Linked DNA regions of Drosophila melanogaster. The protein of the gene in region 1 interacts with the protein of each later gene in a pairwise test. Each region holds a gene or a part of one and is shown on either strand. Other genes may lie near its edges.

Evidence for each region.
Region 2: the proteins of CG6621 (region 1) and CG31680 interact in a two-hybrid assay, tested with the Drosophila melanogaster proteins (one large-scale study listed by BioGRID).

The regions. Positions count from the first base shown.
Region 1 is NT_033777.3:10,889,109-10,895,266, forward strand, and holds CG6621 (uncharacterized protein), read right to left. Parts: upstream 4,424-6,158; 5' UTR 4,075-4,423; coding exon 3,807-4,074; intron 3,744-3,806; coding exon 3,532-3,743; intron 3,467-3,531; coding exon 3,255-3,466; intron 3,196-3,254; coding exon 2,977-3,195; intron 2,873-2,976; coding exon 2,406-2,872; intron 2,284-2,405; coding exon 1,986-2,283; intron 1,904-1,985; coding exon 1,892-1,903; intron 1,738-1,891; coding exon 807-1,737; 3' UTR 660-806; downstream 1-659. Other genes in the region: leash, read left to right, coding at 4,622-6,010, 6,068-6,126.
Region 2 is NT_033779.5:20,638,492-20,641,454, reverse strand, and holds CG31680 (uncharacterized protein), read right to left. Parts: upstream 1,335-2,963; 5' UTR 1,306-1,334; coding exon 1,263-1,305; intron 1,192-1,262; coding exon 791-1,191; 3' UTR 737-790; downstream 1-736. Other genes in the region: Sfp38D (seminal fluid protein 38D), read right to left, coding at 1-406, 473-515.

The DNA.
Region 1 (6,158 bases):
GTATCTCGGTAGCAATTCTCGTTCGCGTACTAATTTGTGCGATAACTTGTCGCCGTAAGTATTCTAATTTCGTGTCCGCAGCTGCGGCGTCCGAAGTTTGTTTTTTCTTTTTTTTTGTTTGTTCCGCTTCTGCCGGCTGGCGAATATCAAATGAAACAAGTCGTTATCTTTCGTGTTTGCTTGGTGCTTGTTGTTTAGCTTCCAGACTTGTCTCTCTCGCTTTAGCTCTCTCTTAGGAGCCCCAACTAACACTAACAGCCGGGTGTTCGTCCCCTCTTTAACCACTTTTTCTCTTACTCTCCGTCTCTCACTGCGAAAGTGCAGCGTGAAGTGTTGATAAGGGGCACGGCGGGGGATACACTCTCCGGGATATTGCGCTCTCTATTGGGGCTCTCTTACACTCTCACTACGCGTTGGACTTTCAGTTCATTCCATGTGCAAAATCAGAATCTGATATCTGAAATACAAAAATGACAAACTATTGTGTTTAGTTTTGAAGTACTTATCCTAACATTGATTAATTTTGCATAGATATGCGATTCATATACTTACATTTTTATATGTTTGTACGCTATATTCAAATTTTAAATACCGACAATTTCCTGATTTTACTTTACGCTACGTGTTGTCTGAAAAGAACCAATAATCGATTGATTGTTATAGTTTGTAATAAATTCGCTTCGCAAGCTTCTTTATTTAGTGACCAATGAACAATTCCCAAAGGGAGCGTTTTACAAATTTGAATATCAAATCAAATGTACCCTATCAGCTAAAAGGAAACTTAAGACTCGTAGGCGAGGCCCTGTTTACGCCCTTTCTTCTCGTCCAGATCTATCATCAGCAACACCCTTTTTCGGCGGAGTAGCTGCCCTTTCATCTTTGCCATTTGGCTCCACGGTGCGTGATACACTGCGTTTATGGGGATTGTGCCAGGAGTACCTGCTTCGATTCACGGAGCCACGATCCCTCGGCATGTAGCGAGACTGAAAGCGTCGAGGACTCCGACTGCGTGAGCGGGAGCGACTGCGGGATCGGCTGCGTCGATAGCGGGATGCCGGCGATGGTGTGCGACGGGGCACAAATGGTGAAGGCGATCGGCGTTTCAAAATGGGCGATGGAGAACGCCGACGATGAAAGGAGCGCGAACGCCGAGTTCGGCGATTACGGTAGCGTCCAATCACAAAGCGATTTCCGTAACTGCGTGGCGAGGGGCTGCGCGAACGGGAGTAGGTACGTCGGCGACGCGACCGTGATCGGCTAATCGATCTGGACCTCGAGCCAGAACGCCGGCTCCTGAGCGACGAACGCGTGCTCCTTCCAAGCCGACGATTACGTGAGCGACTTCGCGAGCGGCTTCTACTCCTACTCCGGCTGCGGGAGCTGCTGCTCCGTCCTCCCTTGAGTGGCTCCGCTGGCGCTGCTAGACGCAGCATTCCCAGCTTGTCCATCTGCAGCGGTCGTTTCTTAATCTGAAAGGAGAGCTTGGGTGCCGGCTCCGGATGTTTCTTTTGCCCCAGAAACTTGGGCGCTGGTGGTGGCTGGGCGCCTCCAAAGCCAACAACGGAGGCCGCATGACGCGATGTGCTGGGTCCCACATTGTCAAAGCTTGACTTTCTAGATGAGACTGCTGTTTTTTTCATTGGTGGCGGGGGAGGTGGTGACTCTTTTCCTCCTTCTTTTAGATAGCTCTTGATCTTGGCCTTGCGTTCCTCATCGCTCCTGGTGCTGTTCATGAGCCTAAAAGAAACACAAACTGTGGCATTAACTGCGTATTGTAAAATATTCAACAGCATTGACAACAAAACCGCATTGTTCATCCCAGATTTGAAGGAACATCGTTTAGGATGCAATTGCAGTTCGGAAGTCAAGCTAAATAATTCCTGGTACATACTTGTTGTCTTGTCTATCCCAGTTGGTTAGGCAGGGAGAATCTCAAGAAAATGTATACTTATTGTGCAATAAGCCTCTTTAGCTGCAAAACTCACCTGAGGGCCTCCTGGAAGTCGATCTTCTTAAGCAATTCAATGGGATCCTCCGTTTCGGACTTGGTCCTGGACCTCCTTCGCTCCTTCTTGTCCTTTTTCTTCTTTCCCTTCTTCTTGGCCTTCTTGTGTTTGCTCGCCTCGCGCAAAAGCTTCCGCACACTCGACACGGTCTCGTCGTCGTCCAAACGGAACTCATTGGCCTTATGGGCATCAATGACGGCCAACTTTTCATCTCCCGATTGCTTTAGCTTGTGTTGGGCATAAAAGGGCTGACTAATGTTTGACTTGGGCTTACCAGCTAAAATTGGAAATGAGTTATCGGTTTGAATAGTGTTCATGAGGGAATAATAAACGGTGGATCAGTGCTTAGCTAGCTAGCTAGCAAAGCCCCCATGCACTGACCCCACCACATGTACTCACCCGAATCTTCGCATTCACTATCACTGGCACTCGATGAGGAGGACTCGTCCGAGGACTGGCCACCGGTCATGTTCGACGGCTCAGTGCTTATTCTACGCTTACCGTCTCCACTTCGATGCAGTGCGTCCAGGGACTGGCGTGCTTCTTCGTGCAGCGGCAACAGATTTAGGCAATCGCTATAGGCCTTGACGGCTTCGGCTATGCGATTCTCCTCTTCGTAGCTGCGACCCAGAGCCACCAGCGTTTCGCCCATGTATTTGCGCGCGTTCACGTGATACTTGTTCAGGTGCAGAGCCTTCTCAAAGTCCTGCAGCCCTTTAAGAAAGCTGCCGCGATTCGCGTAGAGGGCACCGCGGGCCACCAGCGCCTCAACATTGCGCGGATCAATGTTTAAGGCCTTGTTCAGGCACTGAAAGGCCTCGACCTGTTGGCCGTTCTTAAAGTGTTCGATGCCATCAGCCACGGAGCTGATCAGCGGCCAATCAATGAAGTTGGGTGTTGGGTGCGATAGGGTGTGCGAATGATGGAATGACAAACACTCTCAAGGCTTAAGGTCAGTATATAGACTTACCGGAAGGCCCACTGGGAGGCCTGCTTCTGTCGCAACTCCGCGGCGTTCTCCTCCTCCGGGAATCCCGCCCTTAAATATGACATCAGTGACAGATTCTCGTTTGGCTGCAGTCCGTTCATTTGGAACAGCAAATCGTAGTTGGGATTTTCAAACTCTAAGGCTTTGTTTAGCTCATCCTCGTAGTGAGACGCAGATGGATGATCCAGGTTATGTATTTTACTACAGAAGAAGCATTCGTTAAACACGATTGAAAATATGCCTTAAAAACGATGCTTTACCTATAATACTTGGGCAACTCCTTAAAGTCGCAGAGACCAAACTTTAAATCCGGCACCTTATTGAACATGCCGATCATGTTCAGAGAGAGCCGCTCGGTATCCGCGGATATGTTGTTTATCTCACAGCGCAAGATGTCATTCTGGACAAAGCTGCGCGGATTGCCCTGCTTGTCCAGGGGCAAGGGACCCCAGAAGTCCTGCAGGATCACGGCCTACGACGTAGAATAGATATGATTAGTATGCGAAATATGACGCAAATAAAGGTCTTGGCTGTTACCTTTATGGGAATGTCAGCCAAGTAGGCGTGTTTGGGCTCAGCAGTGCAGAGTGGCTTCACTATGAGCCGGTTGCCGCTGGCCAGCCGTGTCACCTGCGTGTAGATGATGTCGCCCTGCTTCAGTGCAGACAATCGGTGCGCCCATCCCTTGCGTTTGTCCTTCACATTGAGGAAGAACTCGAAGGGGGCCATCTGAGTCATGTATGTGTTGCCTGCAAAGAACATAGCACTGGAGTTATCCATTGACCACTCAAACTCATAGACCCTAAACCCACCTTGTGCCAGCAGGGAATCCTCCATAACATTGGCCACCAGCGTGCGATCATACAAATCGGTGGCCTTCCTGGCCAGAAACTGGTGCATCTTCAATCGCTTAGCCCGCTCCTGGAAGGTGAAGTACTTCTGCCGCTCCTGGTAGACCCCGTAGTTCACCTGGGTGAGTCCCATCAGCCGCAGGTCGTCCACGCCGCGCTCGTCGTCCCAGATCTTCTGGAGCGGCTGCCCGTGGTAGCCCAGGGCCTGGCCGATGTAATCGAAGTTCATCTTGGCAGCGCGCACCACTTTGCTTTACAACATTTAAAGATCAAGGTTTTTTAAAGGGCAAAGGGAACGGGATGCGGCAAAATCCACACTCAATTTAATTGGGCGAGAAAATGTCGGCACCGGTTTTGCGTCAAAATAAACGCAAATTAGATTTCCAGTCACTCGGGGCAAGTGAAGCAGCTCACTCTTTCGGTTTTCCTTAAACGCTACACAATTAATGGTCTTGTTATGAGTATAGCAGGCATTAACAAAAGGATTTCCTGATTGAATTTCTGCCAAAATGTGAAAAGTACGTGAAAATATTAATAGGCCCGTCTTTGCTAACGCTTATAATACCATACGGCGTCTGAAAAATGTAAAGAAAATGCAATCACACTACTATCGCTAATATCGAGACTTGGCAACTCTGCTGCTGTGGTGGTTGCACTCGCTAAGTGAAATGGCTGGCAACGCTAGCATGGATAAAAACTTAGCTAATTTAAATTTTAAGACGTTTGAATTTGTAATTAAATAAGTTTGTTTAATATAAGCTTAACTTTAATTTCAGCCATCAAGGTGCAGGTCACCGGCAAGGGAAAATGCAAATGGATGGAGATCCTGCGCAAGAACTCGAACAACAACGAGTACTCCCGCAGTCTGTTCTACACCAGCAAAGAGGTGTACGAGCATAGCGAGACGCCTCTGCCGGATTTTGAGCCGCGTGGCCTGGAACTTTCGGCTGGGGAGCACACGTTCATCTTCGAGGTGGCGCTGGGTCGCCAGCTACCTTCGAGTTTCAAGGGCAGCTATGGCGCCATCAAGTACAAGATGCGCGTGCTCATCCAGCGACCATGGACCTTCGACGAGCGCCACACGATTCCTTTCACCGTGGTGAAGAACATGCCGCTCCAACCGATGCAACGCAGCATACCCAGTTCGCTGGAGAAGCAGGTGACCAAGACGATCAGTTTGTTTGGCACTAGACCGATCACCCTGTTGGCCCTTCTGCCCGAAGATTTTGCGGTGCGCGGAGAGCCGCTTAGGATTTGCGCTACTGTGATCAACAACAGCACCACCGCTGTGGAGAAGCTGCGCTTTACCGTCCTGCAGTACGTGACCTACTACAGCCATGTACCACTGCGGGTGCAGAAGGTGGAGTGCATAGCGGTGGCCACCAAGGAGACGGGCTCGGTGCAGAAGAAGACCGAGCGGAGTTTTGCGCACGAGCTGCTCCTGCCCGATGGAGCCCAGCCGACGGATGAACAGATGAGCGGCGTCATCACCATTGTATACGAGCTGCGTGTGGAGGCGGTGCTGCGGGGATTCTTTAAGAACTTGATCCTTAATTTGCCCTTTAAGGTGTACTCGCAGGATCCATCGAATAGGCAGAGTTCGCTGCGTCCGCCGCCGCCGCCACGGCCTAACGATGGACCACCTGGTCCGGAATTGGGCTCCGGCAATCTGTTTGAGCCCGCCCTGCCGGTCTATCCCTCACTGGACTCTTCCATTGGCTCGCCCTCGCACTCATCGCAGTTTAGCGAGTGCAGCTCCATTAACTCGATAACCTCGGACTCCTCGGCGGCCACTCTGAGTCCCGCTGTGGGCGCTGGAACCGGTGGCATGGATATGTCCTACACTTCGGGCTCCCAGTCCTCGCAGTATGGTAGTCCCTCTGCCAGGACCAGCTTGCGCAGCTCCAATGTGCCCTACATGCCCTATTCGTCCAGTCCCCTTATGGTGCAGTCGTATCCGCCACCCCATCTGCCCGCCTACCCGCCGCCGGAGTCGCCGCAATACTCGCTCCTTGCCCTCACACCACCGCCGGCCGGAGTGGTCGCCGCCCCGCCAACAGGCGGTGCAGCAGCAGGAGGAGCTCCGGCCTATAGCCAACTGCCATCCACCTCGGCCTCAGCATCGTTCCTGCAGCCTCGCCAGGCGCCTGGAGCCCATGAGCTGCGTAAGTTGGGATATTCTACATTACAATTGTATCTATCTCTTGTATCTATTTTTTTAGCACCTTCATACGAAGAGCTCTTCGGCTTGGCCAACGCACCTCCGGGAACTCCAAAGTGAGGAGTGATAGGCAGTCCCGAGCAGCCATCCAG
Region 2 (2,963 bases), on another chromosome or scaffold:
TTAGTTGTTTCGCATTGTTTCGAGTTGCGTATGAGGTTTGTTTGCTTAGTTAAATTCGAAAAATTGTGGGCCAATTTAAGGGATCTTTTCTGGCGTTGGTAATACTTGAGACACCCTTTATCCTTTATCGGGACTTTGGCCATAATATCGGATATGAGGTCATCGATCGCCGTAATGCGTTCCCTAATTTTATTTTCCAATTGCAAGCGACGTTCGTCGTAGTTTTTAAATTCAGCTTTGACCTTCATTTTGTCTTCCAATCTTCTCGACTTGCTAGTTTTCTCAAGTTTGCCAATCCACTGAGAGAATTCGGGATTGCTAAGAGCTTGCAGTTTATATTTCTCCACAAGTCCCTTTAGTCGAATTGTGGCTTCGTCATTAAGCTGGCCAATTGTAGTGCCAAGTACTGCATAAATATTGCTTAAATGAGTGTCTGTCTTGGGATATCTGTACAAATGTACTATGTACTTACTGTAGCCAATATTTGCCAATAGGCATATTGCCATAAACTTCATATTGGCGGTTCGAAATGCTAACTGAAGTGAATAGCTAAAATGGGAAAGTCTACAAAGGGCAAAGCAAATCGATGGATATGCACATGCATATTAAGCATATTAAATAGATTAAGCTTAAATACTTAAGCCATGCAAAGCAACTGCGGTTAAAAAAACCTTATCACACAAATTCAAACAAATATTCAACAGGCTTGCCCATAATTAATTAAGCTTGAATTATTCCAAAGTATTTCAATCAAAAGCGATATTTTATTTGATTTGGTTAAACATATTTATCATAAGTAGTCAACAAAGTAAGGGTCACCAAGCCTGCCGTCATCCAATCCATGAGGGCATCTTACACTATTTTGGTAGAGAACCTGTTGTTTTCTTTCATTGGAGGACTTGTAGGCACTTTCAAGTTCAGCTTCCTGATTAAGGTAGAATCGAAGACATCTCTTGCTTGCGTTTCTTATGGCAATTATGGATCTGATCGTTATCAAGCGCTCAGTAATTTGATCCTCAAGTCTTTGCCGATGCTTATTGTAGTGATTGAATTCATCGGCAACGGTGTTTACCCTTTCTATCCACTGGTAGAACTCGGGGTTTCCGGTGGATAGGTATTTGTACTTGTTTGAAATATTATGAAGCCTCCACGTCGCCAGCCTGTCCATTTCTGCTAAGGATTCACTTAGAACTGTGGAATATATTGTAATTTCCTGTCATATTAGAGGCTGATATCTCAATCTGGATCTGCAATGAACTCACCAAAGCCCAGATTCGCCAATACTAAGAGTGCTATTATCTTCATTCCGCTAACCAACAAATGCATCTGATACGGATATTTTAAATATTGTTAATTTATAAACCTAAAATAATATATAAAGGAGTGTAGAAAACCCATTCGTCAAGCTTTGCGATTGACTTTTTACACTCTTAAAAAAAAAATGTGCAACAAATGCTAGGTAAACAAGACTTGAAGCCATATGCATTTTTAAACCAATTCGATACAAACATGTCATATTAATGCTCGCTTAATAACTTATAGATATAAGCCTCATTTTCAGTAATACCCATGGAAATAGACTTGTGTACTCGGAAAAACTGACTGCCACCAGTTTTCGTCGGAAATAATGGGGTTGGTGACATGTGGTCCATGTGCTGTTGCTGCTACTTTTAAGGGCGTCCGTCGGCTGCCGGGAAAACTTAATCCTTAAACATCCGACGCCAAAAACCAGTGCGGTTTTAAATTAAACAATATAACAAGCTCTAGTCCAGTTCCTCGACTATCTAGAGGACTAGATACCCATTTGCCAGTTGGTCGGAGTGCGAACAAGAATTTTCAACCATTTTTTGGTATATTGGCAGAGTAGGTGTTCGATAAAGGTTAACCAAAAGCGACCTTTTATTTGATTTCATTGGACAATTTTATGATCAATAGCCTAGATAGTAATCATAATCATATCCTTGTATCTCCGGTGGTGCAGAGCATTCCCTCATATTTCTCATATACACCTCTTCTTTTCTCTTATTTGAGAACTTGTAGGCATTCTTAAGTTCATTTTCCTGATGCTGGCTAGGGATTAGGGATCTGAGCGTGTTCAAGCGCTGAGTAATGTTATCTTCAAGCAATTGGCGTTGCTTATCGTATATTTTGAAGTAACCTTCTGTGTCCAAGCTTTAAGGCAGCAACGTTGTTTACTTTTTCAATCCACCGGGAGAACTCCGCGTTTCCGGTGGCTAAGTATTTATACTTGTTTACAATATTTCGAAGTCTCCACGTCGCCAGCCTGTCGTGTTCTTCATATTCCCTACTACTTAGGGCTGTGAAATGTATTGTAATTTCCTGTCATATTAGAGGCTGATATCTGAATCTGGGGCTGCAATGAACTAACCACAGCTCAGATTCGCTAATACTAAGAGGGATATTTTCTTCATTCCGCTAACCAGCAATGTCTACTGATACGGTTATTTAAAATATTATTTATTTATAGAGCTAAAATAACAAATAAAAAAGTGTTGCCATTCGGCAATCTGATAATTGTATGCAGTTGACTTTTTACATTCTTAAAAGAAATGTGTGCGCATTCCGCGCACATTAAGGACTTAATATATATAAATAGAAATAAAATATATGAATAATGTAGAAAATAACTAAGTTAAATAATGAAGTACAAATAAAGAATAATTATATTAATGAGTAAATAAGTAGTAAAGCGAAGCAATTGAAATTTAAATATTTGAGAGCGCCCGCCCGCAAGCACTGGCGGCTGGTCACACTGTTCCGAGTAGGCTGGGCACGCTAATCCAGGCAAATGCCACGCAGCCGACGGGCACACTAACCCAGCAGGTGCTTTTACGAAGTGGGCGACTGCCGGGTTATTAAGCAAGGCACTTCACAGCTCGGTTAATAGATCACGTCGTCTCTCTTTCGCTTTTAGCGCACCTTAAACGGGTTCCCAAGTGATC